Tribolium castaneum: one gene and its partner. The protein of the gene in region 1 interacts with the protein of each later gene in a pairwise test. Links are inferred from orthologs where the notes say so. Each region holds a gene or a part of one and is shown in the gene's direction. Other genes may lie near its edges.

Region 1 (4,223 bases):
CTGTCATACGAATATATATTTGTACCACAATGGTTTTCATGAAAGTAAACCAAAAGTATAAATTATAGGTCACAAACACAGATTTTCGGGGAAACGATCTTCCAAAGAAAAACGTCGTTTACTACATCAGTGGGTACCTGGCCAGGAAGTGTTTGGGCAAATACACATATACCCAACCTGCAAAGAGTACGCCATAACGATGGATGAACTTGACGCTTCTACACTTTTCACGCACTTCAAAGGACAACACACAGAAAAATCCGGTGGCACAGGTGGGGCAATTCACTTGAAGCGGACCACTCAAATAAATGCGACAACCTGAAATTCGGTTATAATTGTTCTCTTAAAAAGTGTGAATGTAAATACGTAATGATTTGTTTGTGAGCGATTTATTTAAAAAGTTATTGACTTCTAAAAATTGACCAAATATTAAGCATAACGTTTTTGTAAATTGTTTTTCTAATTATACAATATATAACAAAATATTTAAAATGGTGTTTTATACACAAAATTCACTGTTCTTTGTAACTCTAAAATCAAATTTGAAATTTGAAATTTTTTCGTATTGAAAACCGAAAGTGAAGTTTCAAATCCAAATTTTAGTAACATGGACCATTTTTTTAAATTTGTTTTTATTTTAAAAAATAGCTTAAAGTAAATAGAGTTTACACTACAAGTCGCAAAATGGGAGTTTTATTCGTTTAGGAGATATAATACTTAATGTACTCAAAAACGCGTAATTTCTTGCGTAAACCGGCCGATCACGTACATTAAGTACTGTATTTCCTATAGGAATAGAGATCCCATTTTGCGACTAATAATGTAAATCCTAGATTATAAGCAATTTTTTGAAATAAAAAAAAATGAAAAAAAAAATGGTTCAAGTTACTAAAATTCGGATTTGAAACTTCACTTTCGGTTTTCTACACGAAAAAAATTCCAAATTCCAAATCTGATTTCAGAATCAAAAAGCACAGAGAATTTTCTAGATATATAAAGCACTATTTTAATTATTCTGGTATGCATCAGTTTTTTTGAATAAAAGCTTCCAAAAACTGTCTCATATTTCGTCAAATTTTTAGAAGTCAATATCTTCACAAATAAGTGTCATACAAAAAATCATTATGTATTTACAATTATGCTTTCTAGGAGAACAATTATCCCGAATATAACCGAATTTCAAGATACTTTTGGAAAACTTTTAATGCATGTAAAGTCAACACGTATTACTGGTTGCCTGTACTTACCAATTTTGCACATCATCTTAAGAAGTAGATAATGAATAATTTTCAAAACTGATATCAAAAAACATAGAATCAAAAATTCGTATTTTACAAACAAACACACTTGTCAATGTCGCCAATCGGAGCCACCCATTGGTAAAAATTCCCAACTGGGTCAGTTGGCGACCCTGCAATGGGTGTAACTGTCGTTTGTTGACTACAGCTTGAGTCATCAGCATGATTTGATCAAATAATTTCCAATTTTTTCATTTGCAGTGTACACCAAGTGTTCGTTTATTAAACTTCAGTAATTATTTCGTACCAAATCGTGGAATGTAGTAATGGAAATCACGAATTTTCTTTGTTTCTTTTTAACTGTGCTTGGACAAAGTGTGTTTGCAGGTAAATTTCAACTCCAACTGTCATTAAATGTTTATGATATTGATAAGTAGATAAAACATTGATAAGGAATAGATAAGGGAGCTTCAAATATTGGTCATAAAATCATAACCTAAAAAGGTGCAACTTCACCAATATTAGAGCATCGCCAATGTTGGGCCCCTTAATTATTTAATTAAAACAGTTTTCGGTTTATTTTAGTGCATTTTGACCTGGCACCGGTCTCAATTTGCACATCTATTTCCGATAATGTAAATAAGGATGTATATTTCTTCCTTTTTATTGATTTTTCGTACTTAATCACTATTTTTAATCCCGAATCGAACTGACCTCTGTCCTGTTTATGATAAACCGGTTCAAGGAATCAGAAAATTAGAATTTTAAACACTGTTATTTCCGTTTATGAAAATTCGTAACCACTGTTGGCTGTGAAAATAGTCAATTGACAAGTACCCACTCGATTTTTTCATTGCATCCTCAACCCACTTGATTTTTTGATTTTAGACTTCTACAATGAGTACGAATGCAACAACCCGTTACTACAACGTGCCGTTTTAAAGGCCACATCTTCCATGCCGAAAAGGGGTCCCGAAAACGCCGTTTTGTGGGGTAAGTTTTTAATACCTCTCCCATCGTTGAAATATCAATGGAATGGTACTGTAGGTGCCCTTTAACGAGCAAAAATGTCGAATAAAAGTGTCCGTTGGGCTTTCAATTTATCCAAATGGGAGCCCTCCCATTCAGACATGTTGCTAGCAACGTCTTGTGTCCAAGTTGAGGAGAAAGAACGCTTAGCGAGATTTGTGTTCAAAAATGACGTTAAATCGTCGTTAATAGGTCGCTTGTTAATGAGGAAATTCGTTAACGAAGCGACCGGACTCAAATATAACGAAATTAAGTTCGCGCGCGATGAAAAAGGCAAACCGTTTCTTACAAATAACAATTTTCCGATAAATTACAACGTGTCCCATCAGGGGGATTACACGGTGTTGGCTGGGTGTAACAGTGCGGGTTTGTTGGGGGTAGATGTGGTCAAAGTGGAGTTTCCGAGGGGTAAAAGTTTGGGTGAATATTTTAGATTAATGTCGCGGATTTTTTCGGGAACAGAGTGGGAAAAAATTAGGGGGCAAGGTAGCGAGAAAAATCAGCTGGCGATGTTTTGTCGACACTGGTGCTTGAAAGAGAGTTATCTGAAGGCTGTAGGTGTCGGAGTGACGATAAATTTGCAAGATGTTTGTTTTAAAATAAACTCGGATGTTTTGAGGAAAGATCGGGTCGTTGATGATACAGAGGTTTATTTTAGAGGGGAAAAATTAGACTGGGAGTTTCAGGAGATGCTTTTGGATGATCAGCATTGCGTTGCCGTTGCAACGGAGGCGAGCACTGGCGAGAAATTTTTTTTCAAAGAGATTGGTTTTAATGAAGTTATGGAAAACGCTGTTGCTTTGTTAGAACCGGACGAGGATTATTGTAATAGTTTTTTTAAAAAGTGTGACAAAAGTTGATGTAATAAAGTGGGTTTTGGGGGATTTTTGTTTGTTTGTTTTTTTCGTACCATTCCATGATATTTTTACGAGGGTTGTTACGATTGGTACCATTCGTAGTATGGCACAATGTTTTAATTTGATGACCCGATTGCATGCAATTTGATTAGTTTGTCAAGTATTGATTGCATGGAAATTTTGTTTTATTAAGTTCGCATTCATGTTCATGTGGGGGAATCGCTTCTTTTACTTAAAAGTTTAAGAAACGTTTTTTGTTTGTGTTTTATTCTTATTGTTGGTAGTCATAGTTACCAAGTAGTTAGTTATTTTTTGTTGTGTTAAATTAGTCCGATAAATTATAATTTCACTATTAGGGTCGCTAAAACAATAGGGATTTATGAATTTATTCTGCTCTATTGCGGCATTTTACACACATTACCGAAATTTTGTACAAGTTTTTGCGAATAATGTTTGAACATGACACTGTTTAAAATAACCATTACATTTATAACTCAACTCAATGATTACAGATCTTTAAACTGTTATACCAAAAGTATATCAAAGAAAAAAAAATAACGAAAAATCTTCATAAATAATGAATAATAATATGGAAGTTACCTGTTATTAATTTTGGAAGAGGAGAGTTCTAATCTCAAAAACAAGTTTCAGGATCGTTCAAAAATTTCTTATAATTATAATTAATTAACATTACATCATTTTAGGACAAGTGAGCTTAACTGTTTTATGTTAAAAATCTGTAAAAAAATGTTGTTAGCTTCTAAAAATTATTAAATAATAATTAGCAATTCAAATAAACATTATTTAATCATTGTTTATTTTAGAATACATTGGAAATTGTAAAATTTAAAATAAAAGTATTTTTTTAAAACTTCATATTTTGCTATGGCCGAGATAATTTGGGCCGTGTGAATAAACTGAAGTAAATGCTTTTTTGTACTCATAGCTATTTTTAGCTATCTAAAATATTTAAGGTAGCTCCAGCGTGTGGGAAACGAACTTTCCCGCACTGCGGTGTTTTTTACTTTGCAACAATGGTTAGGAACATTTAATAGGTTGGTATCGTTACCCGTTGAGATAGAAACGATAATTTTTTTAT
Region 2 (4,144 bases), on another chromosome or scaffold:
AGGGGTTTTTGACGTACTTTTGCATTTTGGGCACTCGTAGTTTTATTGCTTTGAAGTTTTATTTCAAATGGAATACTAGTCAAGTGTTTGAGTGCCGCGATTAAAAGCCCCTGCGCTCAACTTACTTTCTTCAACCTCTGTAAAATAAAACCAAATCTTGCTTATCTGAAAATCAAACTTCAGTTCTTATGATTTTTTAACCTTCTGTACCTAGAGAGTGAATTCTATACCTATTATCAGAAGCGCAGAGTCTTGGCTAAGCGATTAGTTGGCGTTTTGTACGTTTGCATTCATTTAGTGGTGTTAGTGTTTTAAAATTGTGCACAATTCAACTGGCTGTATTTATTTCCTTTGTAAATAATGTTTCCGTTTTCGTCTGTCTCTCGCTCTTATAATGGGTGTAAAAGTTTAAATTACTCGCAGAAAATAATAAAGTAACGCTACATACTAATTTTACAATTAAATGATAACTTTGTACTGAATTTAATTAATAAGTATTTTGTATTACTTTTTTAAAGCACTTTTATACTCAAATATAAAGTACTGACTATCGGTTGTAGTCATAAATATGTAAAAGGCTGATAACAGATTAATATATTTTTGTGTCAGAGTTGGATTGGATGAATGATCAGCGCGGTTATGATTACAACCGTAGATTTTTTGGGTAGTTAGTTAAGTGCTACTGTTACCTAAATGCAGTTCAACACAAACGTTTTTAGGGTTAATGTTCGTAAAAATGTATGTATGTTCCTCTCTTTCTGTATACACAAGCTTTCTTCAAAATTATTTATGTGCTATCTTTGCTGTTTTGTATGTTGTCTTAGCATTTGATCGAACTCATGCATTTATTTGAACGCCATAAGGAGAAAATATTTATCACTACGCAAGAACATTGTTTCGTGCATAAGCATATTAGATGATTTGCTACAAAAACAGTATTTGTAACCACTTGTGATACTTTAATTTTACGCTCAATTCGACTATTACAGATTTATTTCTAACCATATCAGTGTAACAATGTATTTTTTCACACACGTTGTGCCTTGTGATAAATGTATTTTCTTCACATTAGTAAATCATCGTTCTTTTTCTGACCATCATGAAATGTGACCGCAAACTGTCTGTTCTATCTATACATGTCCTTATTTTTGTTACTTTCGGTGGAAAATTGATTTTCGAAGTATACTAGAGTTGCATTTTTCGTTCTTTAAGTTCATGTAATATTCTGTAAAATAATTGTGTATACTAAGTAAATAAAATAAATTAGGAGTAAAAAAAACATCTTTTATTGCTTGACCTTGTACTTCGCCAGTCCAGTGGTTTTGTCGGTGTTGGTACTGCTGGAAAGTGACAGCTGACGTTTCGTTTTGTTTTTCAAGTAAAGGGTGCAAAGTTGAGGGTGTGTTCGTGTACTTAGATTTTATTTTCCTTTTACTAATTTTACTTAAAACAAGAAATAATGCATTTGAATGCCGATATTTCGAGTGCTTTACAACTACTAGAAGACATAAAACAGACAGTGGACGAGTTGAGCGATCCGAAACTTCAAGTAAACACATATCAGGACCTATGTTTATTAATCTCCGTTTTGGAAAACCCCGTCTTTCGGAGCGTAGTCACCGTGCAAGACTCCCTAAGCGAACTGAACCAGCAACTGGGCGAGCATCCCTCTATTTTGCCCGTAGATTTCGACATCACAGCATCTGGCGAGTTGGTGCTGAACGTGCCCCCTTCCGGGGAGCTGTACGACCCTGACTATGCCGACGACTACCAGCCGGCTCGCGACTTCGACGAGCAGCGCGTGCCCTCGGCCCCCATCTCGCCCGGCTCGCCCCACGTGCATCCCTTCAACACCACTGACAATAAGATGATACTCCTTAACAGCAAAACGCTAAACGGTAACATTTGCAACCAGGAGACGCTGCGCCTCCTGCAGAACAACCAGGCTTTCGGGGCCGGCGACGACGACGTCATCCACAGGTCCCCCTCGATAGGGAGCGACGCCTCCAAAACGGGCTCCGACAGCCTGCTCAGCAGCGAATGGTCGCAGGTCGAGAGCATTGATCTCATCAATGATGGCACGGGGCTAGGCTTCGGCATCGTGGGGATGAGGAATATGGGGGTTGTCGTCAAGACCATACTGCCAGGGGGAGTGGCCGACAGGGACGGACGGCTCCAGAGCGGGGACCACATTCTGCAGGTGGGGCCAACAAACACATCGGCTGTTTTTTACACTCACTGAACCACCAATCGCGAGTTTAACTTTTCTTGTTATTTTGAGTAAGAAAGAAATTCCGTTAAAAACATTTTTTTACAACAAGCGGGAATTGCTGTGCAATTAAATTTAAACGTTTGGACAGCTTCTTATAGCAAGGACGTTTTTTATGTAAACTTTTTTCAGTGAACTTTAAAAAAGCCCACGTACGATCAATTACACTGATTTTAATTAATTATAGTATCTTTTTATATTTCGGCTGTTGCGAAGAGATCTAATACAGTTTTGGTTGAAATTTTTTGCAATTTTTGGGCTGGTTCCGTTGACACATTGATTTACAGTCATTCTTTGCTTGAACTAGTTTGGAATTGGTTCAAATCGCACCATTTTCGCCAAAAACAACGTCTTTTGTGCATGTTTCACTGAAATACGATTTCTCGCTTAAAAAGGAGCCAAATCGGTTGGGATTTAGTCAAATGGCTTCATTTGAGACGAAAACTACGCTTTGCACTGATATTCTCTGTTATTTACAATCGCTTTAAAATTATTAAATTGCTTTAGAACGCCTTATTTTGGCAATAGTTTTCTAATATGTGTAGTAACGTTTTTTTCTTATAATATAAAGAAAATATACTATAAAAAGGCTCCGATTTGATGTAAAATTGTACCTAACCCATAAAAAGAAAAAAATAAAGAAAAACTTCAGACAAATAATAAACCTACATACAAGTAAGTATTCATTTTATATTTAAAAAAAATTACTTGAGATAAAAGTATTGTAAAGATCATTTTCCCAAGCTTGTCAGATTGTTACATACATATTTTTTACGCTATTTTCGATTATTTCAAGCGTTTTAGCTCGTTTTTGAACCAGAAACTTAGCCCATGAGAGAAACAAGCTGCCAAGTTTTTAAAAGAAAAAATATATAACATGAATTATGGATAAATAAAAGGAATAAGGAAATTTGAAAAGGGACCAAAACGACATAAATAAATTTATACGTCTACATATTTATTTTGATTTTTTTGTTCTGTGCCTAGTTACATGATTCAGCCATTTCTGAGTGATTTAGCTCAATCTTGGGCCAGAAATTTTTACTTAACTCGGTTATTTTCTCAACCCATTTCTAGCTCGTAAATAAATTATTATTATTTGCTATGATAATCTTCTAAATAGATTATTTAGAAAGCTTTATTCCCTGATGAATGTCTAAACATGTTGAAATATTCACACACTCACTTTTTAAATTATTCGAAAAAGTAGATTTATTTTAATGTGAACTTGTGTAAAATGATTTTGAAAATCGATTGACGTCAAGAAAATTCCAAATTTTCAATAATTGGCAAATTATATATTTTTAAATTTTGCTTTTGTTTGTATTTTTTCAAAAACTATTAATCCATAAGAAAAAATGGCCCTTAGACTGCTTCATTGAATTATTATGCAGAAACTGTACGTGATGGATTTTTTTTTAATATTTTTACAGTAAGCTGAAAATCCAAATAAATCGCTATTTGCGCTCAGACAATTTTTCCTCGCAGATTTGTGTTATTTTTGTAGAAACTGGGAGCGCACGTGCTGAACGCACAAATGAATGGCCATTGACGATACGAACACCTGATACTTTTTTGCGAGAGACGTATAATCGCTGTTTTTCCTCCAAAAAACTTTCGAGTTTAACACCATTCAAACAAATTGTTTGCATTGATATCTTCGCTACCAAAAAACTTTCAAGTTCAACGTACAAGATAAATAATTTTCATTCACGTTTACGGTGCCGGAAAAAACTCTCAAACTCGACATTCAAAACAAATTATTTTCAGCGATATTTCTGAAGGGGACAAAATGAAATAAGCGCTTAGTTACGTACATACTTTTAACTTTTTCTTGAGCCGGCTCACGCTCTACTTTTTTTAACGTATTTTCGT

The links.
Region 2: the proteins of Nrx-IV (region 1) and patj homolog interact in a two-hybrid assay, tested with the Drosophila melanogaster proteins (2 studies listed by BioGRID). The link is inferred for Tribolium castaneum from reciprocal best matches to the Drosophila melanogaster genes Nrx-IV and Patj.

What each region holds. Positions count from the first base shown.
Region 1 is NC_087400.1:9,577,559-9,581,781, reverse strand, and holds the start of Nrx-IV (neurexin-4), read left to right. Parts: upstream 1-1,411; 5' UTR 1,412-1,564; coding exon 1,565-1,625; intron 1,626-2,126; coding exon 2,127-2,231; intron 2,232-2,285; exon of another isoform or gene 2,286-2,305; coding exon of another isoform or gene 2,306-3,127; exon of another isoform or gene 3,128-3,151; intron 3,152-4,223. Other genes in the region: L-aminoadipate-semialdehyde dehydrogenase-phosphopantetheinyl transferase, read left to right, coding at 2,306-3,127. UniProt on the Drosophila melanogaster protein: Seems to play a role in the formation and function of septate junctions.
Region 2 is NC_087403.1:1,764,383-1,768,526, reverse strand, and holds the start of patj homolog, read left to right. Parts: upstream 1-1,325; 5' UTR 1,326-1,459; coding exon 1,460-2,200; intron 2,201-4,144. UniProt on the Drosophila melanogaster protein: Involved in cell polarity establishment. Probably participates in the assembly, positioning and maintenance of adherens junctions via its interaction with the SAC complex.